Linked DNA regions of Arabidopsis thaliana. The protein of the gene in region 1 interacts with the protein of each later gene in a biochemical or structural test. Each region holds a gene or a part of one and is shown in the gene's direction. Other genes may lie near its edges.

Region 1 (14,989 bases):
TTGTTTCTTTCTTGTCAACAATTCTTTCAAATATACTAAAGAACTCTTGTTTGATCATGTATACGTAATATGTGTGATCAAAATCATCCCGTATATTAAGGAACAAAAGGATGACCTTTATTACATGATACAAACAAAAGTAGATTGTTGTGAAATTATATGTAAATCGCACGCGAATGAATTATATCATTGTTTTCCTATGTTACTTTGTGGTTCCTCATTTTACTCTCATCATCTTCCTTAATTACCCGTAGCGTGTGAAAAATCTTCATCATTAGTATGTTATTATCAATAGCATTTTAAATTTTATGTGTAGATTAGGTTATAATCAATATTCGAAAAGAAAAACATTAGATGCTATATGGATCTGTTCGGAGGCCGCGCGTCTAACCTCTACACTAATTACGTTTGGAGGTAGTTCTAGTCATTCTTTGACAAAAGCTAGTTCTGGTAATTGTGTATTTTCTAAGAAAATAGTACTATATACTAATGTATTGAATATGTATCAGTTGGCCCGCCTCAATAAAAGGATTTCATTTTCGCGGTTACCAATTTTTTGTTGATTTAATCAGAATCATAACGTTTAGATGTTTCTTACCATATAAATTACCCGTTTTATATCACCCAAATTTAATAATGTGTTGAAGTTAACATATACTACACAACAAAATCAACTGTACCAAATCTGAATCGAAGAAAAAAAAGCTGGTTAAATCTGATAAATTCCTTACAAATATTCTAGAAAATTCCTCATAAATAACTCGCTAAGAATTGAATGATGTCGACTTCGAATGGGAACATGACACTGGATATGTTTTTTTTCATGTGATGCAAACGAGTTGCCTCTGCCAATGGCAACCTCTGAATAATAATACAACCCCACACTTTTGGAACTGGATTCTTCTTCATATCTCTATCTTCACCCTATATTTAGTTTAAATTATTTACACCCCAAATGTATGGAGAATTAACATTGAATATGCCTCATACAGATTTATCTTTGCCATTTAACAACCAGACTAACGTTTTTAATCTTCACTGAATGTGTTTTTCTTCTTTTCGATAAAAGCTTATCACTGAGTATATTATCTCATTCTATTTTTAGTTTAAATCTCGCGGTAAACAAATATAGTCATCGACCATGACACCATGTGAATTAACTATTAACTAATTACATGAAACAAAATAAGTTTTAAAGTTGCAGTTTCTATGAGATTGATATGTATTATCAATGACAAAATAGGACGTACGTAAAATCTTCTTTTTCGTTAGTATATTTCTTTTGTTTATTAGAATTACATGTTCCCTCGATTAGAAATACATTAGTTGCAAAAAAAGAGAATATTAAAGCTCCCAAAACTATCCTTAGTTCCTTGCATATGAGGACAAATGAAAATTATTGTCCACCAACAACCATAATGGATGGATCAGATGATGAGTGAGGTAAAATTATTAAAAGGTGAGATAATTGGCGTAGATGTTTTTCCGATTTGGCATAATTGCTAATTGTAGACAATGATGCACGTTGGCATCATTATAGTTTTATTTCCTTTCGGTGCAATTTACCCTATTATCAATTATATGCTCACGAGTTAATATATACATACTCTGATACTCAATTCATTTACCTGCCATAAGAATGATTATAAACAACAAATACAACGAGAAGAAATTTTTTTTTGATTACCATTCATTTCACTTAAATACACGTACGTGCTATATCGGCAAGTGCTAGCTAGATCGATGTCTATTAAAAGGTTGATACGATTTTACACTCTTTTTAACGGCTATTAGTTATGATCTTACCCGTTTAATAATGCTAAACCTAATTGAAAGTTGACCTAATAATAAGAAACTTAATTATTGTCCCAACATATTCAAAATAAATGATTCACGAGTCAGCAAAGCATTTCATCCTACTCCTACCTCTCACCTCTGAAAATTGAAATATTTTCAACACTTAAGTTTGATTTTACTATTAGGCCAACAACTTTCGGTCATCACCTTATGCTTTTCATCTACGGTTCAAAAAATTCAAATTTATTTTTATTTTCTTCTATTCAAAGTAAGAAACTATACGTCTATACGTACTATTAATGGATCGAAGGAGATACGATTAACCTTTTTTCTGAAAAAGAGCAACAAACTAATTGTACGTGAAAAAAGTAAAACTAATCATCTAAACTTATGTATTATTAAATGCAAAGCACCACCTTGTTTTAGCATCTAAACATATGTATTATATATATTAAAAATGGCACAACCGTGAGCAACTAAAGCAATGATTAATAAATAAATCAAGACCAATCTCAAATCCATTGAACTTGAATTATAATTAATACAACCCCCTAATTTGTTATGAGCCAGTTATACATCTTCTTCATTAGACAATAAGACAGTCCAACCATAATACATATATACATTATACTTTTCAGACAGCTAAAATGTTATGTATCTTCGAATACTTTAATAATTGTATATACGTTATTGCTCATCACAAAAAAAAGTCTAATTTATCTAACAAACATTATACTCAACAGAAGATGACAATCCGAAAAAGAAAAAAAACGCTTTTACTTTTCCCCCGAATCAAACACCTTCGCTCGAATAATAAAATTATCAAACACTCTTTCTCCTTAGTGGAAGCCACAACACAATTTATTTATCAACAACATTAGACATAAACTATCCAAAACATAAATGTCATCAAAATATTATTCGGCCATGGACCAATATCATCTTTGTATATCTGTACCACATTTGCTGACTCAGAGTTTGTTTTAAGTAACACAAATATTATAACATTGCTTTTGTAATCATTTGTTTTTAAATTTCATTCATAAAAAAAGTACTAAAAACAGGACATTATATGGACCAAACCCATGTGCTCTCGACGAGACCAAAATAGGCCACTCGTGCAGAGAACATGTCCCACCACTCCCACACGCTTCTGGCCTCCAAACTCACACGTGTAAGCAAGCATAAATAAAAGATCGTCACCGTTGGTCAAAGTCCTCCCATCAACAACACATCTTAACGGTTACGACTTGACCCAATCCCCTGACTCTGAAACGTTCTTTGATTTTTGACCCATGACCAGAATTTTTGTTGATTCTTTAAAATTTCTGACTTGTCATCAACATTAACATCTTTAATACACTACTACTATAGTATATAGTATAATCTTGCTACGGTGACGCAAGCGTGCGTTTGACTCTCTCTTAAAATCCCACCTCCACTCACTTTCTCTCTTCACCTTTCACTTAGCATCATCTTCACTTTCCCGCATTTTCTCTGCCCAGATTTTCTCTGATTCTTTTGTTGTTTTTTTCTGATGGGGAGAGATGAAACAGAGACGTACATTACAGTGCCAAGTTTCTTCAAATGTCCGATATCTCTTGACGTGATGAGATCTCCGGTTAGTCTCTGTACCGGCGTGACTTATGATCGAGCCAGTATCCAGAGATGGCTCGATGGTGGTAACAACACTTGTCCCGCTACTATGCAACTTCTCAAAACTAAAGATTTTGTTCCTAACCTCACTCTTCAACGTCTTATCAATATCTGGTCTGATTCAATCGGCCGTCGTCACAACGGTGATTCTCCGGTTCTGAATCCGCCGTCTGGTAGAGAAGTTCCGACGAAGGAAGAAGTGAATGTGTTGTTGGAGAGATTGATGAGTCTGGAGAATTTGATGAAGATCGTTCGATTCGTGAAGGATTCGGATTCGAACAGAGAGTTTCTCTCGAAGAAGATGGAGTTCGTACCAATGCTCGTTGATATTATACGCACGAAGAAGACGAAGATCGAGTTAGTTATAATGGCGATTAGGATTTTGGATTCGATTAAAGTAGATCGTGAACGGTTATCGAATCTGATGTTGGCGAATGACGGCGGAGATTGTTTAACGGCGATTCTCTTAGCGATTCAACGCGGGAATCTGGAATCGAAGATCGAATCGGTTCGGGTTTTGGATTGGATCTCCTTCGACGCTAAATCAAAGCTTATGATAGCAGAACGTGACGGAGTTTTAACAGAGATGATGAAATCGATAAGTATCACTGAGTCGTCAGATCCGAGTTTGATCGAAGCGAGTTTATCGTTTCTAATCACAATCTCCAAATCAAAACGAGTGAGATCGAAACTAATCGCTGCAAAAGCAATCACGAAGATCAAAGACATTCTTCTGACGGAGACGTTAACAAACGTTGCCGTGACGGAGAAGTCGTTGAAGCTGTTAGAGACTTTATCGTCAAAGCGAGAAGGGAGATTGGAGATTTGTGGAGACGACAATGGTAGATGTGTGGAAGGAGTGGTGAAGAAGCTCTTGAAAGTATCGACGACGGCGACGGAACACGCCGTGACGATTTTGTGGTGTTTGTGTTATGTTTTCAGGGAAGATAAGACGGTGGAAGAGACGGTGGAGAGAAGTAACGGAGTTACGAAGCTGTTAGTGGTGATACAGAGCAATTGTTCGGCGATGGTTAGACAAATGGCGAAAGATTTGATTAAAGTGTTGAAGTTTAATTCCTCTGCTTTGGCTGCTTACGAGACCAAGACTACTCATATTATGCCTTTTTGATTTTTTAGTAGTACATTATGAATAAATATGATATAAGTAAATCTTATTATCAAACTATTTTGAACGTATAGATGTTGTAAATCTTATGAGAAATTTTGTCAGTTTTACTAATATTTGCCTCGTGTTAATTGAGAATTATACGATTTAATTACTCATAGCAACAATTTGATACATTAATAGTTTACACGATTTAGAGCCAAATATATCATTTTCTTTCAAATTTGTAGCTTGTGTCACACAATTATACAACTTGTGTGTGTTCAAAAACATTATTTTGAAACAGTAAAGAAGGTTTAAAGATGGATATGCACTTAAAATATTCGCAATTTGAATCATTCGGCATAATTTCAAACATTTAGTTTATAAAAATATTTGAATAAAACAAAATCAATAGTTAAAAGAATGATTTTGTAAGTTTAGATGGTGGGGAAAGGCATCGAGTGACTATTATCTGATTAATTTGATTAAGGCTATAAATTAAAACTCTCTAGTGTGACTAGATAGATACTTTTGGTTCAAAAGAATTCAAATGACAGCTTCGTAAGTGTGTACTAGATTAAGTTAAAGTATGGTTCACTGAATCTGACTAAAAGTTTTATTACTATGAGTTAAATGGATGGTTATGCAATTTTGCTTATTACTGAACCAAAATATAGGAATAAGGTTCTTCCCTTTGGATTGAAGTGACAAACGAAAACTGGTCTCTAATGTCTAAATTATCTTGTAAACTAGTACCTTTTAACAAATTTACTTTTCTTTCTTGTTAGAGGACGTTGCAACATTTCATGGTCATGCCTCTCTCACACCCACCCGCTTTTTTATATTCTATCCTTTGTTCGAATTTTGATTTGAATGGTACTTGTTTCAACATTTGATTTGCAACGGAAAATATTATCTTTTTGAATAGTAGGAATCTATACACGTAAGTTTTCAGATTGAATGAATTTTTTATATATTATATACGATATAATAAATATAAACTGATTGAGGAACAATAAAGATTGTTTTAGTAAAACAATTAAAATTATCTGAGTTGATATTATAGAAGGTTTCAGAATCCATAATCTTTTGTCTTATTTAACTTTATAACTTAATTAAAAAAAAAATGAAATTTATTTTGGAGGATAATTTAATAGAGTATCAAAAACATATGGATATTAATATCATCTACAACTTATTTTAATTTTTAATATATCCATATGTTTTTGATACCCTATTAAATTATCCTCCAAAATAAATTTCATTTTTTTTATTTTAATATCTCTGCCAGTTATGTTACTTCTTTTACAAGAACATCACATTTGGTGTCACCATTTTTTTCTACGACAATGCCTACTTCCTACACATCCTTCTCTGCTCAACCCACAAATAACAACTGGTTTTTGTTGTTCAACATCTTCTTCTCTTCCCTTCTTGTTATTGCTCTCCGATTTTTCGATCAAGATGTCTCAGATCGCTACAGTTACAAGGTATCCAAAGTTACCACATAAACTCTATACAACAACCCTAAATTCCTCTGAATTGCGAGTAAAGTTCTATGTTTTTTTGTTTGCAGTTCATGTTTCTATACCAAGGAGTTCAAAATCTCCTCTGTATCTTGAAGAGAATCGTCCGATAGATGTTTAATGAAGTCTTTACCGCGCTCGCCATTTTTTATCTCTGCAAGGAATCTCTAAAACACCTGCTTTATAACTTGAATGTCAAATCCACATGCCGAGGAGAAATCCTCAGCAGGACAATGGTTTGAAGTTTTTAGAGAATGCATTCCTTGTGAAAAAACAAATTGGATTAAAGTTTAAGAACATCAAAACTAACATGAAAGGTGAGATTTTTTTGTTAAATACTTTCAGATGCTACTTTTTCTATGTTGTTTTTGTAATAACTTTTTCAACTTCCTTTTCTTAATCTTTTAGAGAAGGCAGTCCTTGTGGAAAATGAAATCGGATTAAAGTTTAAGAACATCAAATTTGAAGTGAAAGGTGAACTTTTTTTGTTTGTTTGTTAGTTTCATATCCAAATTTTGGTAGTTTGAAAACAAAAGTTCCAACTTTTCATAGTCACGTTCATATCTACATCTATAATAACTGTTAGTAGTTTCAAATGCAACGTTTTGCTCTGTTTTATTTTGGAACCATGACAATAGAAATTGTTTCGTTTGCATGTATAACCAGACACTAGTAAACATTCTCTAGAAACTATGCAAAACACTAAACAACTCAATGACTATGAATATGTTAGAATTTTTAAAACTTAGCTTTCTTCATACCAAAATTGTAAATACAAAGCCATTGAGTCTACCTTCGACCTGTAGTGTTTGGTGGATGTGGTTCAGCAAGGCGAGGAGTACCCATGTCCGTCGTTGCCAGCCCTCCCTGATACTAAGGCATCGTCAAATTCGGACCTCGATATGGCGCCGAACCACGAGTACCAAGTGTCTGTCAATTCCCCCACACTACTCAACGACAGTACTGGAGAGGTTTCTAAAGGACCATGTTGGAGTCATCTTCTATGAGTAGTTTATCTTTTTAAATTAGTAGCTTTCAAACAATCCTAAATTTGTAGTTTTTAAACTAAATAAAAATTTAAAAAATATATCTATAGTTATTAATTTAGGGAATAAGTTGAAAATAAGTCACTTTTTCAAAATAAATTTATAAAAGTATTCACTTTACTATTATAATATACAAAGTAGTCATTTTTCGTACACATAAATTTATACAATACATTCAATATACAAAGTATATATATTTATATATATATACTAAAAGTATTGTACATATGTAAGTATACGAAAAATGATTACTTTACAATTATAAATAATAAAATGACTACTTTTAAAATTATGTTTTAAAAAGTAACTACTTTCTCAATACACTCTTATTTTATTCGAATTGTTTGAAAATATTATTACACTCGAAAGTTTCAAACTTTGATCAGCTATTTTCTTGGACCAAACTAGAATTGATATGGGCTTTGGATAAACAAATGAAAGCCTGTTAGCAACCATCCTCATAATATATGTTCATTGTTATCATTATCTATATATGGAAAAATTATTAGACTAGTAATATTTTTATGTAGAAATGTTTTTAACCAAAGCCAGTTTATTTTTCTTTTATCAGGTAACTTAATAAAATCATTTATGTTTCAACGAGGACTAGTATGTTTATGTAGATCTTATTTGGTCATAGGTTCAATTTCGTCTTCTTTTTTTGCTGACAAAAGACAACTAAATATCTGATTTCTATGGGTAGATACTTAATTACTTAGTCTTCTAAGTATATATATTTAACTCACCCTATACAATATACATGTTTTTGTTTTTTTTAACAACTCATATGATAGGTCTTAATTAGGTTTGTTACTTCTATGCATGCAGACGTTAATAGCTTAGCTAGGTACTAAGAAAGAAAGAAATTGATTGTTACCATAATTTGCAACTTCTAGAACTTGTAAAACTTAAATAGAACTATCACTAATAATTGTATGTTAATGATTGACAACATTACTAATATATATAACTGTGTGCCGTTGATAATGTTGATTCCTAAGATCTTTCCTACTAATTAATTATCTAACATTAAGACAAGAATGGAAGTTTCCTAATTAAGCATGTGCTGTAACAATTTGGTTGGAGACACAAAAAGTCAACATTTTTTAAAGTCAAACTAATCGTTCTGATGACTTTTTATTTCTTTCTCTTTTTTGTTGTTTTGGTCAATTTTCTCAGTCGCCAAAACATTCAATTCCCAAACCAAACAGAGCAGAAGAACAACAAGTTTTGATTCTAAAAAAGGAAGCTTCCCAAGTATGGATCCGTCGGAGTATTTTGCCGGCGGCAATCCTTCCGATCAACAGAACCAGAAGCGGCAGCTTCAGATCTGTGGTCCTCGTCCTTCACCTCTTAGTGTTCACAAAGACTCTCACAAAATCAAGAAACCTCCAAAACACCCTGCGCCGCCGCCAAATCGTGACCAACCGCCGCCGTATATTCCTAGAGAGCCGGTGGTTATCTACGCCGTATCCCCCAAGGTTGTACACGCAACCGCGTCTGAGTTCATGAACGTAGTCCAGCGACTCACAGGGATCTCCTCTGGTGTTTTCCTCGAATCTGGCGGCGGTGGAGATGTTTCACCGGCGGCGAGGCTAGCGTCCACGGAAAATGCTAGTCCAAGAGGAGGAAAAGAACCGGCTGCGAGAGATGAGACGGTGGAAATCAACACGGCTATGGAAGAAGCAGCTGAATTTGGTGGTTATGCTCCGGGAATACTCTCGCCATCTCCGGCCTTGTTGCCAACAGCTTCTACCGGGATATTCTCTCCGATGTATCATCAAGGTGGGATGTTTTCGCCGGCTATACCACTGGGATTATTCTCGCCGGCGGGATTTATGAGCCCGTTTCGAAGTCCTGGCTTTACTAGTTTGGTAGCTTCACCAACTTTTGCTGATTTCTTTAGTCATATTTGGGATCAAGATTAGATTTTTTTTTGGTGTTTTGCTCTGTAATTTTTTTGTATTATGTATTTTGACATATCCAATGTAGTAGCCCAAAGGGTTTAAAATGAGCTTCATGTATAAAAAGATTAACTTTCAAAAATTTCAGACAGATTCCTAGAATGTAAAACTTGTCTGCAAACTAATATATACAGGAGTTACAAGATTCTCCTGACCTAAGATACTCTAATAAGTTTTGTGTTTTGAGAATAGGCTTCTTCATGAGGTTGTTGTAACAATGGAGTTCCAAGTTCCTCCTATCAATGTACCAACTCTCTCTCCTTTGATTGCTTTGGCGATGTTCCCAGGTTCCGAAAGATTGAATACCACAACTGCAAATTGACACAGAACTAAATAAGCATTCTTGTTGTATTTTAGATGATCATGTATGCATGTGGTCAAGGTTTGAGAGAGTGTTATAGAAAACAAGCCTGGGATGTTATTTTCTTGGCACAAAGTGATAGCAGTCATATCCATTACAGAGAGGTCCTTTGAGGTGACCTCTTGGTAAGTTAGTGAGTCAAGCAGACGAGCGTTTGGGTTTCTTTTAGGATCATCGTCGAACACGCCATCAACATTTGTTGCTTTCAGCACTACTTCTGCATTAACTGTGTCCAATGCGAAAAGTTTTTTTTTAGTGTTGCGAATAATCATTGGAGAAAACTTAAACGGAAACCACCTCTTTACTTACTTTCAGCACATCGAAGAGCCGCTGCAGTATCGGTGGTGAAAAATGGATTGCCTGTTCCAGCTGCAAATATTACAACCCTTCCTTTTTCTAGATGTCTGATTGCTCGTCTTCTTATGTAAGGCTCTGCGACTTCCGACATGCGGAAAGCAGTTTGAACACGGGTTGGGATGCCAATACTCTCCATTGTCGCTTGAAGAAATATTGCATTCATCACAGTTGCCAGCATCCTATCCAATTTCAGATAAACCAATGAGACCAAAAACCTCCAGTAGAGGAAAATTCTGGATCTTCTCCGAGTAAGAAGAAGAAGATCCTTTGACACAAAGGCGTATGATTACCCGATATAATCAGCAGAGGAGCGATCAAGGCCACTGCACCCAGCCCAGGTAGATCCACGAAAGATATTTCCTCCTCCAACAACTATAGCAACCTATTGTAAAGGCGTAAGAAGATCAGACAGAGCACACACAACATTGCAATGATTCTTAATGACCCAGACACATGATCTGTTGCCGTATAGTATGTTTAAATCATAACAAATTTCTAACTTTAAGTTGTGTAATGCCATATATCTCCACCCCTTAACTTAAGCTCCCGTTTCTTGTAAGTTTGAGCTAATTGATTTCCAGCATATTTGGTTACATCTACACAGGCAATTATCAAATACTTCGGGTATTATACTTATGTATAGGAAGAACTCAAAGCTGAATACATATCCACTAAAAAATTTTGAATCCAATTATCACAATGACAACTAGAACAAGAATGTTTGAATGAAGCGTTTAGAGAATAACCTCAATGCCAAGTCGAGTCACTGCTGCAACTTCCCTTGCAATCGCCATAGTAACCTAATTAACGGGAAACTGGATGAGACTTCTGAAGTAAGGAAACAGAGAACAAAGAAAGCAAAACAAGGAGGGTTCTTTTGGTATCACAATAAACCTTTGGGTCGATATTTTGCTCCTCGTCTCCAGCAAGAGCTTCTCCACTGACTTTGAGTAAAACCCTTCTCCATTTAAGCGGTGGTTTGGATGTTCCATCAAAGGAAGGCAGTCGTGGGAAAGATGATTGCCCGTTTAAGCTACTGAAAATTACAGATGATCGCAACAGAGTATTAACAAAATCAGCCAAAGTTCCAAACATTATAAATGGGTTAAGTTTTACTTCAACCAAAACAATAAAATCAGATTTGCAATATATTTTAATAAACTCTTAAACCCTAAACCCAGAAGTATCTTCATTGACAAATTTTCACAAACATCTGGTGGGCGTAAAGATTAAAACTTGAAGATTAATAATACCTCCCGTTCCCGTTCCCGTTTCCGTTCATGGAGTCTGGAGATGAACCATTGTCTGAGGACAAAGAAGAAGAGCAGCTGATAAGTACACGCCTACTGTAATTCTGGTTGGAGAAGAAAGTACGATTGCGAAGTGTAAGAGGGACGAAGGAGGTTCGGGAAATAGACGAAGAAGTTGAGATTGGGGAGCAAGAGGTAAGAGGCAACGGAATTGCCATTGCCGGAGAGATCTAAGAAGAGATTATTTACTGAAATATTCAGTAGAGAAGTGTCGCCGGCAAAGACGGGTTTTAAGTCTGAGAAGATAAGGTCTGGTTTCAATGTAATTTACTAATTAATCAAATGAATTGTTGTGATATTTAATGTGTATATATATATATATATATATATATATATATTTGAATTATATCCCCAATAATTCACTATATTTAATCTTATCTTATCATACAAAAACGAATAACTTTCATTAAATTCTGAATATATTTAGAAAATTTTGATATATGTCAAAATGTCTTTTAGAGTTTTAACATACGTTATACATATACTTCTATAAAAAATGTAATTTTTAATCAAATTTAATTGAACACCAATTTTAGTGCACTACATATAACAAATAGCTACAAATAGATAGATATTTTCTTATATCTAAATAATTCACACTATTTTATGTGTACTTATTATTGACCAATGGTTTTTTTTCTTTTTTTATAACAATTGATTAATAGGTTTGAAATAACTACATTTGCATCCTACAAGAGAAGTGAAGAACCACAAAGCATTCTTATTTTCGTTTCAATGACTTGAAAAATATGAGTTTTCTTACCAAGTTCAAGTTTTAAAAGTTTACTAATTGCAAATTTACAAGTAACATTGTTTTTGAAGAGTGAAACTAAATTCTTTGCTTTGCAACGACGTAAATTTTTGTAACACTAAAGCTCGATCTTTTAAATATTCCCGGGAAAAGTAAAAGTAACAAACACATATAAGAAGAAAAAAACACTGATAATGATCTTGAAATCTTTCATGGTATGAATAGTCAAGGATTATTCGTATTACAGTTTATTATAATGTTTAATTACTTGAATCCTTGTCTCTTTTCTTTGTCCTTGAAACCTTGCTTCAAAGATAAGCCACCACAACTCTTTTAACACTTTACTCATGTGCCTCTGTTCGAATAACGGAAAGATATGTTTTCTTTTACAGAAAAATTATAAAAGAACAATTTTACACTTAAACAAACACATACCACCACGTTTCTTGCGGGAGAAGCAACCGACAAATGGATACCGAGAAAGGTTATCCCAGAGGTTTCAGAGCAGAGAGTCTACGACCAGAAACGGGCCCCAGAAGCTTTCGGTTTGATAGTATGCAGATCGATGAAGCAGCCGATCTACAAAAAGACGAGATACGACAAGAGAACTCGACCTATCTTGTCCTCTTCAAGAACATAGACAGTGGAGAGTTGGAAGCCACGAAAGACTTCTTGGACCGAAACCCTGAAGCTTTAACCGCAATCTTAACCTCTAATGGAGACACTCCAATCCATAAAGCTGTTTTGTCGGGTCACATCAAGATCGTGGAAGAGATCATTAGAAGAATTCATGATCCAGAGCAAGTGTTAAAGATCAAGAACGATAATGGTTATACAGCGCTTACTTATGCTGCCACTGGTGGAATTGTAAGAATTGCAGAGTGTTTGGTGAATAAGTGTCCTGGTTTGGTCAGTGTTCGGAATGCGAAAGAGCATATACCGATCGTGGTGGCTTCATTGTACGGTCACAAACATTTGGTTCAGTATCTTTACAGTCACACACCTCTCAGTGATCTTGATCCTTGTGATGATTCAGATGAACACAAGGGCAAGAACGGAGCGATGCTCGTGACAAATTGTATTGTCGATGGATTATATTGTAAGTTCTTAACTAATGATTTATAAATGTTCGTGTATTATCATTACTTGTTCATGAGATTTGGCTAATGTGGCGCATGTACATAAAGGTATTGCTTTGGATCTGATTCAGAGGTATCCTAAGTTGGCTTATACTCGAGACAGTGATAACGATACAGCGATCATGGCGCTTGCTCAAACACCTTATGCGTTTCCTAGCGGTACCCGTCTTGCATTTTGGCAACGGTGGATATATTCTTGTGGGTATACTTACCTTATGCTTTAAAATAGATATAACGTTTTTTGTTATTAGGAAGTTTGATTTTATTAGGCTTTAATTTTGTTGATGGTTTTTCTCTTGAAGGTATTCACATAGAGAAGATTAATAACCCTCATGAAGTTAATAATCACCATCACCACCATCAATATAGGAATTCGCAGGATCATAATTCGATTCAAGAGAAGTTGATGAAACACCTCAAATATCTTTGTAAGCAGTAATTACCATCCCAAATTGTTACCCCCTCATTGTTTTTGTTTTTATCAATCTTAGATTAAACTTTCTATTGACAGTTCCACGCATAATTAGACGTGTATACAAACTAAAGCTAGGACATGCTCAAGCTAAAGAAATACTAGACTGTATCTGTCAAGAGATACCTAAATTTGACGCGGCTCAACAAAAGAACGCTGGTCTAAACCAAGCTCTCTTTAAGGCGGTAGAGAATGGAATCGTAGAGTATATCGAGGAAATGATGAGGCATTATCCTGATATCGTATGGTCCAAAAATAGTAGTGGTCTTAACATCTTCTTCTACGCGGTAAGCCAGAGACAAGAAAAGATCTTTAGCCTCATTTACAATATAGGTGCTAAGAAGAACATCCTCGCTACAAATTGGGACATATTCCATAACAATATGCTTCATCACGCCGCGTATAGAGCCCCAGCCTCAAGGCTTAATCTCATTCCTGGTGCAGCTCTTCAGATGCAAAGGGAACTACAATGGTTTAAGGTGATACATAGTTGTATATATGATCTTGCTACACAAGAAATTAGGCAATAACTGTTTCTGTGAAAAGGAACCTAGGATTATAACTCTGTATTATTTCCAGGAAGTGGAGAAGTTAGTGCAACCGAAGCATCGAAAAATGGTTAACTTGAAGCAGAAGAAAACTCCAAAGGCTCTGTTTACAGACCAACACAAGGATCTCGTGGAGCAAGGAGAGAAATGGATGAAAGAAACAGCAACTTCTTGCACAGTCGTTGCCGCTCTAATCACCACAATGATGTTTTCCTCCGCCTTTACTGTCCCCGGAGGTTACCGTTCAGACGGCATGCCACTCTACATCCACCAGCACAGATTTAAGATATTCCTCATCTCCGACGCTATCTCTCTTTTCACCTCATGTATGTCTCTCCTCATGTTCCTCGGCATTCTCAAGTCTCGCTACCGTGAAGAGGATTTTCTTCGATCACTTCCGACAAAACTGATCGTGGGTCTTTTGGCTTTGTTTCTTTCGATGGCGACGATGATTGTGACTTTTGTCGTGACGCTCATGACTCTGGTTGGAGAGAAAATCTCGTGGGTTTCGGCTCAATTTATGTTTCTTGCGGTGATTCCGCTGGGGATGTTCGTTGTCCTTCAGTTTCCGGTGTTACTTGAGATCTTCCGCGCCACTTATTGTCCTAACGTTTTTGATAAACCTCGGCGAGTGTTTAAGCTTTGATCGAGACTCGAGAGGAATAATGTTGGTGATCAAACTAATGATGGTCTTCCACTTCACTTGTAATTCTTCCTACAAACATATGAAAAAGCCTTATGAGTAGTAGGTTCGAGCCTTCAAAATCAGAGTTTAATTGTGTTCTAGCATTAATATATACTTCTGATTTTTGTTTTTAGTAAATAATGATGATTATACATTATTTACCAGTTTCCTTTTATAATTCTCTCTTCCATATGCAACCACTATATAATAGATTTTTTTAATAAAAAAAAATTATCTACTAGAGCAATTCCCATACGTACTTGTTTACG
Region 2 (16,798 bases), on another chromosome or scaffold:
CTGTGAACAGAATTTTGTATTTGGAATTTTATGAGTTGTGTTTTGTTTATGCAGTCCGTCAATCTAAAGCCGGCAGTAACAACACGACCCAGCATCCAGACTGGTCCTAGAACAGACTTAAGGGTAGCTGCAATCTTAGAGAAAGCAAATACAATACGCATGGTTCGTTACTCTCTTTCCATCTCCTTCAAAGATAGTAAATGTTTTCAAGTTTTTTCACCTTTTTCTGTGGTCCTTGCTAATCGTAGAGGCTTCATGTCAAAGCATTTCAATTTGACATGAAAATCTGAGGAGTTTAGTCTCACATTATGTCTTAGATTGGATCCGAAGCAGTCTCTTAAGTGGAAACAATGAATTATAAGCCTGATCATAGACCAAATAAAATATCACTTTTTCTCTATCGCACACACATCTAAAACCGGTTGAACACTGGTGCAGGCAATGGCTGGAAGCGACGAGGATGAAGATTCAGATAGTTGGAGTGATTCTTGAAATCGATGATCGTTGGCTTTTCCGTGGTGTTCGTTCTTGTATCATGATGAGTGCGCAAGCACTTGGAGTCAGGTAGGTTATACAATCTCTATTTCAGACATATAACATTAAATACATACAGTCATTGGTTATTTATATATGTATGTATGTATATTGTGTACTGTTTTATAGGTGTGTGTATGTTGTAATGTAAGTAGATTCCGAAATTTGCAGTAGTTTTACGGAAATTTGTGTGTAGGAATGTTTCGTTCTTTTTTTTAGCTCATAGAACATTCTTTTAGTAGGCTATGTATGTGTATTTGAATACATACATAGATATGTATTGTGTGTTCTCAATCATTTGCAGTGTCCTTTGACTGTATATTTGGTCATTTGGATAACGAATATCTATGAGAATCAGCTAGTTAGTGCACTGCACACACTTCAAAGGTAATATTTGGTTTCTAGAGGACTGAAATGATATGATGGTTTGCTTGCTTAGTACCAATAGGATGATCTTCACAAAAATCATTTGCAGGCATAACTGAGTTTCAATTTGAACCCAAATAGAGTAGTTGGATCGAGAAGGAGGATTGGAAGTATGGCAATCCTCAATCCTCATATGTAAATCAGTTGGAAGCCTACTTAATACTTGATCTCTATTCTCGGCTGGCACCACCTGTATCCTGTCTGAATACTTGATTATCGGGATCAGACCACATCGTCCGCGCAAAATACCACCCGGAACAGCACCACCATAAGCAACAGCCTCGACCGGGTTCACACCTGAGACGTTAGGGCTAAAAGAAACTATATGAGAGTGAAAAATCCTGAGATATCATTCTTGATTACCGTTATAGTGTCTGAACTCAAAACCTTAGACGAACTCATGCTACTAAAAAAAACAAGGAGACGAGAGCGAAAGAATGCAATTGTGAAGAATTTATGATGGCCTTTATATAGACAGAGCTCTTTATTCAGTAACCGTTATGAAATAGCAAGGAGCTAGTCTTAATTTCTAGTGGGCTAGGGAAAAAAATAAAAAAATTCTAGTGGGCTTAAGAGCTAGGCCCATAAGATATTTTAATATTATTTTATACAATGAGACCAAACCAAAACCAAACAAGAGATTGAGAAGAAAACCGATTTTTTCCTTTTATTTATTTTTATGTTTATAAATTAAAAATGGGAAAATCGATTCCCGTCAAAACAGGGCTAAGAGGAGCTTCCGCAGCAGTAGCTGGATTCATCAAATCCTCAAAACCGATCCGACCCATTTCCTCCATGGACAGTTCCGACAAAGATTCATCATCCACCACCACCACCAGCGAAACTACACGACGTTTCGTTCCGCTTTCATCGGTGGTTTCTGATTGTGCGAAGCGGTGGTTTAAAGACACTCTTGAGGAAGCTAAAGCTGGGAACATCACTATGCAGGTTTTGTTAGGTCAGATGTATTACTCTGGGTATGGAGTCCCTAAGGATGCTAGAAAGGTTTCGTCTTTATTCCCTCCCTTTCAATCTCTTCTTTTCCAAGTTTTAGGTTTTTTTAGTTTGGTTGATTTGAAAATTCTCTAATTTGATTAGATTGATTTGCAAGTTTCTTCTTTTTTAGGTTTTTGAATTTGATTCTGTGTTTTATTAATGATTAGGGGAGACTTTGGATTACGAAAGCATCAAGAGTTCGTTCTTCAGTGTGGAAAGTGATAGATAAACGACCAGGTCTTTGTTTTATTACATGTCAAAATTGGTTTATCAACAAATTGGTTCTTTTTTGCTTTTGGATATGAATTTGTTTTTTTTGTGATTTCTCAGGTTACAACGCAAGTGATTCAGATTCAGAGTCTGATTAGCATGTCCTGATCGAGAGAGCTTGTGTTTGTTCTGTTTTGTTTCAATCTTGGATGATCCAAGTTCCAACAATGAACAATATCTTCTCTCTGCGCATATCTTTTGATGCTTGCTAATCATTTTGTAGCTCTATTACTCAAATATGTCTTCTTTTTTTATTTTGTTTAAATTTTGGTGAATGCCTTTGCTCACAGTGTATGATTATTCTAGCAATGAAAAGGAGTTAAAAAAGGTACTCGTATTGTTTTGTTACTTTTTCTATGTTCCAAACTCCAAAGTAAACAATATCAGCGGGGTAAAAAAAAGTTCAGAAGAAGAACATCCATTTATACTACTTAGATCCATTTCGTTCGATAAGTGATTTGTATAACAACGAACTTATAATTTCTCCGATGACTTAGAATAGGCATTGGAAAGACTGGCTTGTTTTCTTAAACCAATCTTAAAATCTAAAAACCATAAAATAATGTAATTGTATCATAGTCATTTTGCACACAAAACCATAAATATTCCCAGTGCCTAGTGGGAATCTGTTTTTTGCTCCACTAACAAATTTTCATCCCTTTGGAAATAGAATCACCAATATTAATAGGACCACTCTAGAACAAAGTAATACTGAGTTTCGTCGATTCTTTTTCCATCATTCGATCAACAAAGCTATTTCTGCGGCGCTAAAATAAGGTTTTTGTTTCTCATTTATTCCTAGAATCATCGTTTTTTGTTTTCAGGATAAACTATTGTTAATATGGCAGTTCATATTTATCGCAATTCTCGAGGACGGCTTTGTTGTCACACACTAAAACGCTCATGCAAATGATGACTGTAGAAATATCTACAGATGTCATGTTTCATTTGGAATTCAATACGTAATCAACACCTAATCGCTTGATCGATGTTAAATTCGAGACTTTCCAGCAGAAAATGGAGAATGAGACAGAATTGAGGGTTGTTCATCAGGAAGAACAACAACGCGAAGAAGGAGAAGATGAATCACAGCCACAAAACCCACCACCAGCCTTACGACGTCGTTTCGTGATATATCTTTACGTTGGATATTTTCTTGCAAGATGGAGTGCCAGGTAGGTTTCCATCAATCCTTTATCTCCAATTATTTTGAAACTCTTTTTTTTTTTTTTATTGTATGAAGATATAAAACTTTATTCATAGTGTATTAGTGTTAGACGTTTTGAAGATGATGGACTACTTTCTTTTCTTGGTTTTGTGATGCAGAACATGGGAATTCTCTGTTGCATTGTATATGATCCACTTGTGGCCAAACTCTCTGCTTCTCGCTGCCATTTATGGTGCTATAGAATCTGGTTCTACTGCAATCTTTGGTCCCATTGTGGGGCAATGGGTCGAGGGAATGGACTACGTTAAAGTTCTTAGACTCTGGCTCCTGTTCCAGAACCTCTCCTACACTATTGCTGGTGGTGCAGTCATCAAGTTGTTGCTAGTTTCTGATCTTAAGTCCCGGAATCTCCCGGTGTTTGCAATCTTGATTGTGTTAACGAATCTTGCTGGCGCCATTGGAGTTCTTTCGACTCTTGCTGGCACCATTCTGATCGAACGAGACTGGTAAATGTCTAGACTGTATATATTTGCAACACATGAATGCAATCTTATGTATAGTGTCATATTTGCAACATGTATTTCTTTTGGCTCTTTTGGCAACCAACAGGGCTGTGGTTATGTCTGAAGGTCATCCACCAGCAGTATTGACAAAAATGAATTCTGTCATTAGAGGCATTGATTTGAGCTCCAAGCTACTGTCTCCAGTCATTACTGGTCTGATCATCAGTTTTGTCTCACTTAAGGCTTCAGCGATCACTTTTGCAGCTTGGGCTACTATAACAGCTTGGGTTGAATATTGGCTCTTCATTTCTGTGTATAGCGGTGTTCCTGCAATAACACGAAGCAATGAGAGACGGATCTTGCGTTCCCGGACAAAGCAAGTAGAAGGAAGAGATGCACCTGTTTCTGTTTCTATTGTTCCGGGAACAGAGGAGGGTTATACTGGAAACCCTCCGTCTAGAACCGGAATCTTGGTGATACTGGATAGAATGTCCAAGTCCTCTTTTGTTGGCGCATGGAGAATTTATTTCAATCAAGAAGTTGTCCTCCCCGGGGTTTCTCTAGCTCTCTTGTTCTTCACCGTCCTCAGGTTCCTTTTCTCTTTATCTATATGTTTAAGAGTCCTCAGATGAACATGCATATCCTACCGATTATGTGGATCATTGTTGTTTTATTTACCACCTTGACACAGCTTTGGAACATTGATGACGGCTACATTGCAGTGGGAAGGTATACCTACATATATCATCGGTATAGGCAGGGGAATAAGTGCAACGGTTGGACTAGCGGCTACATTAGTGTATCCGCTAATGCAATCGCGTCTCTCAACTCTGAGAACCGGCCTCTGGTCCTTCTGGTCTCAGGTATATCAACTTGAAAACACACCTATGGTTTGATTCATCTGATTGGTTACAGGTTATAACAAGTCTTTTTCTCATTCTTCACTAGATATTAAGTGTATCATATATGTACTTGACCATGTTATGGAACTCGAGTAAAACAAAAGAGTCATAAAAGTAGGGTTGTTGTTCATACAGTGGAGCTGCCTTTTGGTCTGCGTTGGATCGATTTGGGTTAAAAAGGATAAAATAGCATCTTACATGCTAATGGCTGGAGTTGCTGCTTCAAGGCTTGGCTTGTGGATGTTTGATCTTGCCGTCATCCAACAAATGCAGGTATGTTTACATTTCTTTAGCTTATATAGTTACAGCACACGTATTCTTTAAAGACTTATAATAAGAACGTTTCGTAATGTTTTTGGTCATGTGTTAGGATCTTGTTTCAGAATCCGACCGTTGTGTGGTTGGAGGTGTTCAGAACTCACTGCAATCGGCTCTTGACTTGATGGCATATCTTTTAGGTATCATTGTCTCCAATCCAAAGGTAAATAAATTCCAGTTTATATTCTAAGGATCCATATATAGATAATGACTCTTTTTATCCATCAAATGCAAAATTTACGTTTTCATACAATCAAGGTCATAATATTTATGGACTTTTTTATTTCAGGATTTTTGGATATTGACGTTGATCTCATTCTCCACAGTATCGTTGGCAGGAATGCTCTATACAATTCACCTCTACCGCATAAGAAACCATATTTTTCATCTTGAGAAGATTCCTTTGTTGAACAAATGTATATTCAAGTTGCTCCCTTCTCGTGGAAACGTGTAATTCATAATGTTGTGGAATGTGCCACGATTTCTCCGACATGGATAACTAGAAATGGGGTGGTTTTATGACATGACCATAAAGCAGCCAAAAATGAATCAAATGGCTTAAATGATTGGTTAAATAGGTCAAAGATATAGTCAAAAGAAAACACCCACAAAATAGGTCAGTGACAATTTTGTGATGTGTTAAAGACAACTTTCAGTGACAATTTTGTGATGTGTTAAAGACAACTTTCCTCCGTTTTTTGTATGAATTCACTCTGTTTTGTATGAACTCACTTTTATGTAGTTCTATAATAACAATGAAAATTTTCCATTTTATCTTTTGGGAATAGAATTCTGTATTAAAAATCAATACTGAAATAACATTCATCATTAGTAGTAGAAACAGTTGAAAACTCCCAGATATTTGTGTTTGCTTAATAAAGTACACACTCCATTATTATATGTTAATAAAGAAACATTAAGAAGATTGATGAAGTCTCTTCTTGGCATTCTCTGCTTCATCGGTTGCGTCAACTTGCATTTTTGTCTCCGTTAGATGAGCCTCCGTAGCTTCCTTCTCGTTCTTTGCCGTCAATCTCTTTGTCTTCCAAACCAAAATAAAAATAAAAGATTATAACAAAATGAAACTAATCAATAAGGAAATTAACGAGACACCAAATACGTCAAGTGATCATTGATTCAAGAAGACCCATGAGTCTCTGATCCGCTTGTTTCAGTGGCTCGAAACAAGACTCTTGTATACGCACCTGGCCAACAAAAAAGGCTTTGACATAGCTAAACCCTTCCTGGCATGTTACTGCCATGGATAAACAGTTAGTCTTCACTCGATCGGACAAAGACTTCGCCGGCTGTCGTGATGTCTCGGCGTCTTGCATCGCTGCTTTTTCGAGATAGATAGATTGCTTGAAACTTGAAAGCAAGACTAGGAAATATCTCACTTTCTTGTGCCAATGATGATTTTTTTTAACTATTAATGATTCTGGAAGCAACTCTTGCCACGTCTGTTTTACGTGTTAGCTGTAGAGATACCGACGTGTATTAAAGCAAGAGGCTATTTTACTTTGGGCCTTTTGGGCTTTTGGGCTGAAGAAAGAAACTGTCATCGGATCAACAAACACTGCATAGTTTGCAACTTGCACGGTAAAGCGACACAAAATCCATGACGTTTAATTTAGGTTCCACGTGAAGAACCATACCACATATCGTGCAATAAGAAACTGATCACTTTTATATACCTAAACGATTTACAATTTACACTACTATGCTTGACACGATATGTAATTTTTTTTTTTTTGCCAAAGGGTGTTGTTATTGATATTAAACATTGTACAATACAACGTACATAGACTGTTTATATAAAACAAGGACGTCTAGATAAAAAAAGCAAATAACAAATATTACAAGACTAGTTAAGGAAACAACAAACTGAGTAAGGTTTTATGTACAAAACAGAGACGACTACCAAAGAAGAGGGCCAGACGTGGTAGCAGTGATGGAAGACAAACATCCTGACATCTCAATAAGAACATTTATGGCTACTTCAAATACATATATACACAATATGTAATTCTCTTATTACATTTATGGCTACTTCAAATACATATATACAAAAAAAAAAGGCCTACCTTCGACAGAAGTTATACCAATTTATTGATCGGAAGCTACAAAATGTTATCTAGGGTCAATTTGTAGCCTATCTCTATATCAAAACCGATACGGATACAAAATAGTTTGATAATCATAGAATTTAACATTCTAATAAATATTTGTTTCTAGTATTCTTTAAATGAATAATCTTGTGTTCAATTAGTCTATTCATAGTAGAATTAAGTCTCCTAAAAAATAGATTGAAACCAAAAACAGCCGCACATGGATTTAATATCGACTTTAGTTAGGAGGTTTTGCTAAAAATAGTAAAATACTCACAAACTCACTTCTAAATACTAATCTTTTACACTCATGTCATGTGCTTTAAAGATATGAGAGAACCTTTCCTAGTACACCTACAGTCAAAATTTTCAAGATTCCGAAATTTTCTAGGTTTTTTGAGCAAGAGCCAAGAATCCCAAATGTTTGAATTTGTATTTTTGATCCAAAAATACTACAACATCGTATAAAGAATAAATCATACGTGTCAGAACGAGACATATGAAGATGATGAAAGCATTGAGCCGCCCCTCAAAAAATCCGTTCAACGTTTGAGAGTCAAGGCCACAAGGTCTGACCAATCTATCTCTTCTCCTTCTTCTTCTAATCATATTTTCAACGGTCAAACTTTTTATCACCTTCTCAGAAACTACTCTTCTTCATATGTGACCCTAAAAATAAAAACGAACAATTAAACAAAATTTTAAAATAATATAATATTCACCAATCAGACGTGCAATATGTTTTATATATTCAGACATAACCAACAAATATACAGAAACAAGAAGAAGAACAAGAACCATCACTTCTCTCATTTTCTTCTTCTCCAAGCCCCCCTCCTTTCTATATATATCTGAAATTGGTCTTTTATAAAACAAACTTCCATTTTTCGTATGGCTGCTTCTTTTCTTACAATGGACAATAGCAGAACCAGACAAAACATGAATGGTTCTGCTAATTGGTCACAACAATCCGGAAGAACATCTACTTCCTCTTTGGAAGATCTTGAGATACCAAAGTTCAGATCTTTTGCTCCTTCTTCAATCTCTATCTCTCCTTCTCTTGTCTCTCCTTCCACTTGTTTCAGTCCCTCTCTTTTTCTCGATTCCCCTGCTTTTGTCTCCTCCTCTGCTAACGTAAGCCTCTCTGTTTTTTTTCTCTGTTTCTTTTGAAATGAATCCAATTAGTGATGATAATCTGTGTTTGATGTATCATTGATTTAACATCTTGACAATGAATCGTGATCGGAAGTGATAAAGTTATGGGTCAACGGTTTCAAAGAGAGAGAAAGACTTTTAGAGTCAACTCTCGACTCTTTCTTAATTATGTTATTGCTATTTGTCTCTTTTCTTGAAGTCTGAACAATTCTTGGGATTGTTTTGCAGGTTCTAGCTTCTCCAACCACAGGAGCTTTAATCACAAACGTAACTAACCAGAAAGGTATAAATGAAGGAGACAAGAGCAACAACAACAACTTTAACTTATTCGATTTCTCATTCCACACACAATCATCAGGAGTTTCTGCTCCGACCACAACTACAACTACAACTACAACTACAACAACAACAAACAGTTCTATCTTTCAATCTCAGGTATGTACTTCATCAACAGCTCAAATCCTCTGTTTATGAGTTTTTCTATAACTTTGTTTTGAGTTTCAGGAACAACAGAAGAAGAACCAGTCAGAACAATGGAGCCAAACCGAGACTCGTCCAAACAATCAAGCTGTATCTTACAATGGAAGAGAGCAAAGGAAAGGAGAGGATGGTTACAATTGGAGAAAGTACGGACAAAAACAGGTGAAAGGAAGTGAGAATCCTCGGAGTTACTATAAGTGTACTTTCCCTAATTGTCCAACGAAGAAGAAAGTGGAGAGATCTTTGGAAGGTCAGATCACAGAGATTGTGTATAAAGGAAGCCACAACCATCCTAAACCTCAGTCTACTAGAAGATCTTCTTCGTCTTCTTCGACTTTTCATTCAGCTGTGTACAATGCCAGTTTGGATCATAATCGTCAAGCTTCTTCTGATCAGCCTAATTCCAATAATAGCTTTCATCAGTCTGATTCCTTTGGGATGCAACAAGAGGATAATACTACTTCTGATTCTGTTGGTGACGATGAGTTCGAACAAGGCTCATCGATTGTCAGCAGAGACGAAGAAGATTGTGGGAGTGAACCTGAAGCAAAGAGATGGTACAGATCATCATCACCCTCCAAATTTGCTACTCTTTGAACAATCTTGAATATGAAAGTTCTAAAATGTATGTTTTTTTGTGTTTTCAGGAAAGGGGACAATGAAACAAATGGTGGGAATGGTGGTGGAAGCAAGACAGTGAGAGAGCCGAGAATCGTAGTGCAGACAACGAGTGATATTGACATTCTTGACGACGGTTACAGATGGAGAAAATACGGCCAGAAAGTCGTTAAGGGAAACCCAAATCCAAGGTAATAACATAAACAATTGTGCATCTCAATAACTCAGAATTAAGGTTCTTGAGAATCTGACCTTTTGTTTTCTTTTCATTTGCTGAATCTTAACAGAAGCTACTACAAGTGCACAACCATCGGTTGTCCAGTGAGGAAACATGTGGAGAGAGCATCACACGACATGAGAGCAGTAATCACAACCTACGAAGGGAAACACAACCACGATGTTCCTGCAGCTCGTGGTAGCGGTTACGCCACAAACAGAGCACCACAGGATTCGTCTTCAGTCCCGATTAGACCAGCTGCTATTGCTGGTCACTCCAACTACACTACTTCTTCTCAAGCACCATATACACTTCAGATGCTGCACAACAACAACACTAATACCGGGCCTTTTGGTTACGCCATGAACAACAATAACAACAACAGCAACCTTCAAACGCAACAAAACTTTGTTGGTGGTGGATTCTCTAGAGCAAAGGAAGAACCAAACGAGGAGACCTCATTTTTCGATTCGTTTATGCCCTGAAGAAAAAAGGAACCAGTTGTTCCTTTTTTATGTTCCTTTTGTACATTTCTGCCACCAAAGGATTTTACTACTTACTAGTTATCCTGCAGGATAGTAAGTCAGACTTCTATAGTCCATAGAGAAATTTTTTCATTTGTTTTTTCACACGCCTGTAATATGTTTAATGTTTGTACTTTGTACCATAGAACTAGAACACGGAATAAAACCAATCAATTTTCAGTTTCTTCACTTTGAATAATGAATCAAAGAAGCACACACACACACACACAGTGACACAGGGAGACACAGTGACAGTCTGACAGACCCAAATAACAGAAGTTGATATCAGCTATAAGAACACATAAAAGAATTGACATTTACATGTATAACAAAGATCACAATGGTATATAACTACTGAAGCACATTATTGCAAAGAGATCTTCAGATAAAAGAATGAGTGGAGAGTTTGTAACCGGAGAAGAGAGCAGAGAGAGCTAAAGCAATGAATGCGAAGATAGCCATACTTATAGCAGAAGCAGCAGAATCAGTGAAAATGTTATCTTGACCTTCTCTGAATATGTTTGTCAATGGAATTGCAGATGATGCAGCTGATATAAGCAAATACGCCACAATCTGCAAATTTCACTTTTTTGCATAAAAATCATAACTTTACATATATAAATCTGAGAATTGATAATCAGTTTGTGGCATTACCTGGTCGCCGGAGAAATCGACCAAAATAGAAGTCCGGCGATCGAAAATTTCCCTTTTTGAGAAATGTGCAAATGTTTGCCACGCAGTGTATAATGTTGAAATAATCGAAATCGCCAATACATATCTGAAGCAATATAAGAAATTTCAAAACTTTGATCGATATTACGCAAACCCAATTTCAAATTCCAGTATCAAAAAACGGAAATCGAACCTGTACTCTTCGTAGTCATTGAAGTTTCTACCGTAACCATGTTTATTAGAGACCATAATTAAGAAAGCAATAAGAGAGAACAAAAGACAGATTCCTCTCGTAATCGGAGATGCTTTCTTTATCAAATCCTCTCTTTTCCATCTCTGAGTAATCGTCGACGTTCCAGATGCCGGCGTCGGCTCCGACGTCTTCTCCGCCGCAGATTCCACGTCAGTAGCTTCAACCGGTTTCATGTTATCGGGATTCGTCATATTACAGATCTCAAAACTTTGGTCGGAATTGGTTCTGTTTTTAATGCGAAGATTCGGGACGAGGAATAACAAACTTGGAAGAAAAGAAAAACTGATTAGTTTTGGAAAACGTAATTAAGGTTTCGAGTTTTATATGTTAAATTGAAGAAAACGCGTGGTGGCGGGAGTGATTTATGGTAATTGGTAAGCATTAAGCAATGTGATTAAGACTAACAGTTCTGTGTCATGTGTGTTAGTTAATCGTGGCTTGCATTTAGACAGCGAAGCATGCTCATTGGTCAGGATCATTGTGTTTCATTGGTATTATTTTTAAGAGATTTTTCTATATCTATTTATCTATTCTATGGTGATAATGTTTTCTAATCTATATGGTAATATATGGTTTTAGGATTTGGGATGTTTAATCAATTCCATAACTTTTGTGCTAAGAATGGAATTGTTCTTCACAATCTTTTTATGGAAAGCTTTATATCAAAGTCTGATTGGAGAATTTATGGACAGTTGATTTGTTTTTTTTTTCTCATTGGAAGATTGTGTTTTCTGTATAAAGGAATGTTAATTAACTTTATTACATAACAAGAGTTGGAAACAAACATTATAAAAACTGAAATTTGTTATTTCTTTTTAGCAAAAAAAAAACAAAAAAAAACAAGTTCATTGGAAATTACTTGGAAATAGATTGTTGTCATTTGTCAATATGAAGAGCATAAGTAAGAACTTCCATAAGTCTAGATCAATGATGTGTGCATTAGAAGTACCAAATCATTCGAGGCAGTTTAAGTTCCCATTCTAATTGGACCAATGACGAAGACCAAGGCAAAGAAAATCTTAAAGATGCTTTCAATGATAAGGGGATGATTCAAGACTTGTTGAGTCCACTAGAGAAGTTACCTACGGAGTTCAAATCCAATCCATTTTGAGTCTATTGTCCGACCAATAACTGTAAAAACAGTTATTTCTGTTTTGTTCTTAGCTCAACAAATATAACAACAATTTTGATCTTAATGGAGGAAGAAGGTTTTAATGTGAGAGACTTGTAATGGCTTTGGGAACTTATTAGAGTTCACATTTCACAACCTTTTTTTTTATCGAAAAGAAAAATAAATAAATAAAACTTTATAGAGTTCAACGTGATGATACAATTATCAACATTTGCATTGACCACCACCACACTAAATCTTCTGAGCTTGGCGTTAGCGTCACGTCGAGTTACGGTAGGGTCGTGTGTTTGACGTGAGTTTGAGATTTATTTTTTGTTTATTTTAATGTCATTTGTTTTTCAAAACACACAATTTAACTTTGCTAATTTCATAAGAGTATACTTATTTCTTATCTCTGATAGCTTCGATAGACTTACCATACACTTAACACGTAATTACCGACAGCTGATATTGCTTTATAACAATCCTCTCTCTCTTTTTCTATGACGTCGACTAATTTAATTTGCATAGTAAGTTTTTTAATGGGATCACACCACTATCCAAATAACATAGGTTATCTAGTTCTGTTATAGAAAGTTACTGAATATATCTATGTCAAATCAAATGTATGCGTTGGAAGCTATAGTTTTTGTATTTCTAAAATTAGCATTGGACCACAAACTCCCCAAAACAAATAAAACATTGATGCTTTGGCTAGAATTTTGTGATCTATCTTATAGACTTGTACGGTTATATATACCAATCATGTTTTAACGGAATTGCCAAGTGGTAATCAGCAGTGACAACTATTCGTTAATCTGTAACATTCATATATATGTTTTTAATACAAACTCAAATAAACATTCATACATAAAAGATCCTGAAATACTTCGTACGATTGCCAAACAAAATCAACAACGATAAATATTACAAACGGTGTAGCATGTCCCTTAGCGCAAAATAAGGCCCAAGTTTGCAAACACACACGGTCACACATAAAAGGCTACAAAGTTCAAATCAGAGTTTTATTCAAATTCTCTCCGATGAATAAAGCAAATAATTTTTGTGTTTAAATTATACTCCGAAAATAAATAAACAAAAATAATTGAATCCCGGTTTGTTTTTTTCTTTCTTCTTGTCATTTTTATATACAAAGAGGCGGATCGTCCCATTACTCTCCCTGCTCCAATGTAAACCGAACCGGTTAACCACAATGCGTCTCGATCCCGAGTGTAGTACGTTGAAAATTCTAAAAGTAAAACGCACGGATTGTTGGTTTAGTGTTGAAACCGTTTTACGGTTTGTCAGGAACTTTATAAACCGGTTGGTTAATCAAACGACGTAACTTTTGTCTAAGAGCATCGGCCCAAACCAAGCCCACGTCTCTTTGCTTGTTCTTCATCTCCACCATCACTAGTTCATTTGTTAGCCGGCGAACTTTAACGACGACATTAGCTACTCCATGTGGACCTTCAAGCTTTATCGCTCTCTCCTTCTTCTTCGCGATTCTCAAATTTAACTGCTTCGCAACTTCCTCGACCTTCCTCATAATAACGGCCGTACTCTCATCGGATACAAACTGGTCGCAATGATCCGGCGTCACGAAATTTCCAAACAAACCGGAGAGATTCGAGCTCGACGCCGAAGAAATCAAATCGAACGCGTTTAGAATTTTACCGTTTTCTTCCAGATCGTAATCATCGGCTTGGATTCCGATGATTTCGCTTGGATCTACTCCATGATTGAACCACGGATCCTTTAGAATCTCCTCCACGGTGATTCGCAGTTCCGGATTTGGCTCCAAGAGACGGCGGAGGAGTTTCCGCAGATCTGAAGATGTCCAATCCGGTAACTTGTATTGAGCCTTGTGGATTTTCCGGTAGAGTCCCATGATGTTTGGATCACGAAACGGCAAGTAGCCTGCGTTGAGAAGAAACAAAACGACGCCGCATGACCAAATATCAGCTTTAGAACCGTCGTAGCCTTTCTTCAAAAGAAGCTCCGGTGCTACGTAAGCCGGAGTTCCACAGAGCGTATGTAGCATTCCGTCGGGGTGGATCTGCTCCTTCATCGCACTGAGACCGAAGTCTGAAACCTTCAGATCTCGATTCTCGTCGAGGAGGAGATTCTCCGGCTTCAAATCACGGTGGAAAACTCCTCTTGCGTGGCAGTATCTCACGGCGGAGATCAATTGCCGGAAATATTTCCGGCTAAGACTCTCTGTGAAACGGTTGCTGGTGACTCTTGAGAAGAGCTCACCACCTTTGGCTAGCTCCATGACGAAGTAGATCTTCGTCTTTGTGGCGAGGACTTCGGAGAGGAGCACGATATGAGGATGACGGAGGCGGCGCATGACAGATATTTCTCTCTTAACGTGCGCCGTTAAACCGTCTTTCAAACGTTTTTTTTGTACGACTTTGATCGCAACGCTTTCGCCGCCGTTTTGAAGATCCTCCGCTTGGTAGACTTTGGCAAACGCGCCGCTACCGAGGAGCTTACCGAGATCGTACTTACCGAACAAAGCCGACTTATTATCATCTCCGGTGACGTTAACAATGATTGATTCGGAAGAATTAGAGTCTTCGGCCATTAACAAACAAACAAAAAAAACAGAGCAAAAAAACAGAGTAAAGAGAAACAGTCTAGGAATTGTAAAAGACATGCGCGCGGTGCCTCTTCTTATTGAAATTCCTCAACTTGCCACGTAAGTAAGCTATTATTTTAAACAAAGATTTTAAAATAGTTTGACTTTATTATAAAATGCATTAAACAAATAAATGAAAGAAACAATCTTCACAAAAGACAATTTCAAAATGCGATAACATTTTCGATTTTTACTAATTTGAATTAGTTGCGATATATCAACCAGGTTAGAGATAGAGTCATTTTCTCCTGAAATAATTTACGATTCAAGGAATTTTCATGATTCTTTCCCCAATGTGTGGTTCATGTTGTTGTTACCAAACATCTGCCTTGTCAGGTCAACCAAAACCTTCTAATTCCAGGTGGGATTTAAAGTCTTAATTTATTTGTTTTTGTAGGAGCTGGGAAAACTCGACATATTTTTTTTTTTTAAACGTTCATCGTTGACAAAAATAAAAACTTTATCAAAAATAAAAAGAACGTCTATATAAAAATATTTGAATAATGTGAAAGAAAAAAACAACGTGGATTGACGTTACTTTGTATAGAATGCTAAGCAGTATACATGACGATGTTTTAAGCTTCTTTACCGGTTAAGATGGTACTTTAGTTCTGAGGATATGATTTGGTTCTTAAAACATAAGAATATATATTCATCAGGTAGAAGTGTACAACCAAATCAAGACAAGTGAACCGGACCAAATTTTATGTGAACTATATCTCGCAACATTGCATGTGCATGTAAAGATGTTTAGACACGAATGTTATATCGTGGGTACAAATCAACCATCCTTAATTCTGATGAAATTGTTGGTCTTTAACCGCATCCAACCGTAGCAACCCAATCAAACCAAGAACATTATCCAGTCAATAAATAACCTTTAAATTTGAGTGACAAAATAATAACATTTAAATTTGAATGTTGTTTGAAATTCAATGCCACATATAATAATTACTTTTTAATAGCTGGAAATTTTGTTATCTAAGGATTAATGATGGGCAAATTAAGTTTTTCTTATAATTAATTTGAAGTTGGATTCGTGGATCCAAGTCATTCGTGTGTGGATTAAAATCATACTAGTACCCCTTTTGTTGTTGAAAAAGCCAAAAAATTAATCCTTACACGTGAACTTGTTCAAAACATTATCATAAACCTGTAAATTTTTGACCAAAAACAAGAAACCTCTAAAAAAAGAATTAGGAAATATGCAAAAGCAAAAACTCGACAAAGTAAAACGAATAAAGAAAACAACTCTTGCTCATTCATTCATGTGTTCCAATATGTAGGTGTTAGCTTTCGTAACGGTATTTACTATCTATTTGCCTTTTAGTTTATTGACTTTATCTGAATGAAAATTAACACCTAACAGTCGGCAGTAATACCCAACCAAACTTCAAAAGTTATCTCGATTTTATCGTACGGTCACACAGTCATTTAGACTATGACATCCGGGCGTCATTGTGGAGTCATACCCAACCGGAAAAACCAACCATCGAATCATCACATCGAATATAATGCCCAACCGCCAAGTCAACTTATTTATGTGCTATATCGATCCATTTAAAAACATCAATTCTTTTGAAAAACAAATACATCACCATTGCTTTATTATTGAATATTGATCTTCTCATTGTTATCGTCATCAAGAATAAAGACATCTACTTCAAAGAGACACCGTCTTTACCACCGTGATGGTGTACGTCAGCCATCGACATCGTCCGTACACCCACCCTCACTCTTAATTTAAGACGTTTCTTCTTTCTCACGCATCGTCATATATTGTGTGATTTCTTTAAAAATGTTATTAAAAAAACTCTACGAAGCAAAGTTTGTAAAACCAACCGTCAGAAGATTTCTACGACATTTTGTCTTTGTTTACGAAAAGAATTTAACAAAAGC

What was found.
Region 2: the proteins of MKS1 (region 1) and WRKY33 form a complex in vitro, tested with the Arabidopsis thaliana proteins (one study listed by BioGRID).

The regions. Positions count from the first base shown.
Region 1 is NC_003074.8:6,423,827-6,438,815, reverse strand, and holds MKS1 (MAP kinase substrate 1), read left to right. Parts: upstream 1-8,301; 5' UTR 8,302-8,392; coding exon 8,393-9,061; 3' UTR 9,062-9,282; downstream 9,283-14,989. Other genes in the region: PUB29 (plant U-box 29), read left to right, coding at 3,335-4,582; AT3G18700 (uncharacterized protein), read left to right, coding at 5,911-6,051, 6,138-6,191, 6,317-6,404, 6,496-6,561, 6,919-7,094; AT3G18680 (Amino acid kinase family protein), read right to left, coding at 9,296-9,684, 9,768-9,994, 10,106-10,197, 10,562-10,615, 10,710-10,851, 11,069-11,283; AT3G18670 (Ankyrin repeat family protein), read left to right, coding at 12,345-12,975, 13,064-13,213, 13,318-13,443, 13,527-13,966, 14,067-14,681. UniProt on the Arabidopsis thaliana protein: Regulator of plant defense response. May contribute to MPK4-regulated defense activation by coupling the kinase to specific WRKY transcription factors.
Region 2 is NC_003071.7:16,100,360-16,117,157, forward strand, and holds WRKY33 (WRKY DNA-binding protein 33), read left to right. Parts: upstream 1-7,875; 5' UTR 7,876-8,116; coding exon 8,117-8,359; exon of another isoform or gene 8,360-8,608; coding exon 8,609-8,815; intron 8,816-8,884; coding exon 8,885-9,417; intron 9,418-9,507; coding exon 9,508-9,669; intron 9,670-9,765; coding exon 9,766-10,180; 3' UTR 10,181-10,407; downstream 10,408-16,798. Other genes in the region: SCAR2 (SCAR homolog 2), read left to right, coding at 55-162, 439-492; AT2G38450 (Sel1 repeat protein), read left to right, coding at 1,657-1,965, 2,124-2,193, 2,287-2,324; IREG1 (iron regulated 1), read left to right, coding at 3,244-3,401, 3,553-3,900, 4,004-4,486, 4,589-4,760, 4,935-5,072, 5,170-5,280, 5,407-5,571; AT2G38465 (uncharacterized protein), read right to left, coding at 6,034-6,159, 6,323-6,451; AT2G38480 (Uncharacterized protein family (UPF0497)), read right to left, coding at 10,601-10,792, 10,874-10,997, 11,085-11,335; CIPK22 (CBL-interacting Serine/Threonine-kinase), read right to left, coding at 13,550-14,845.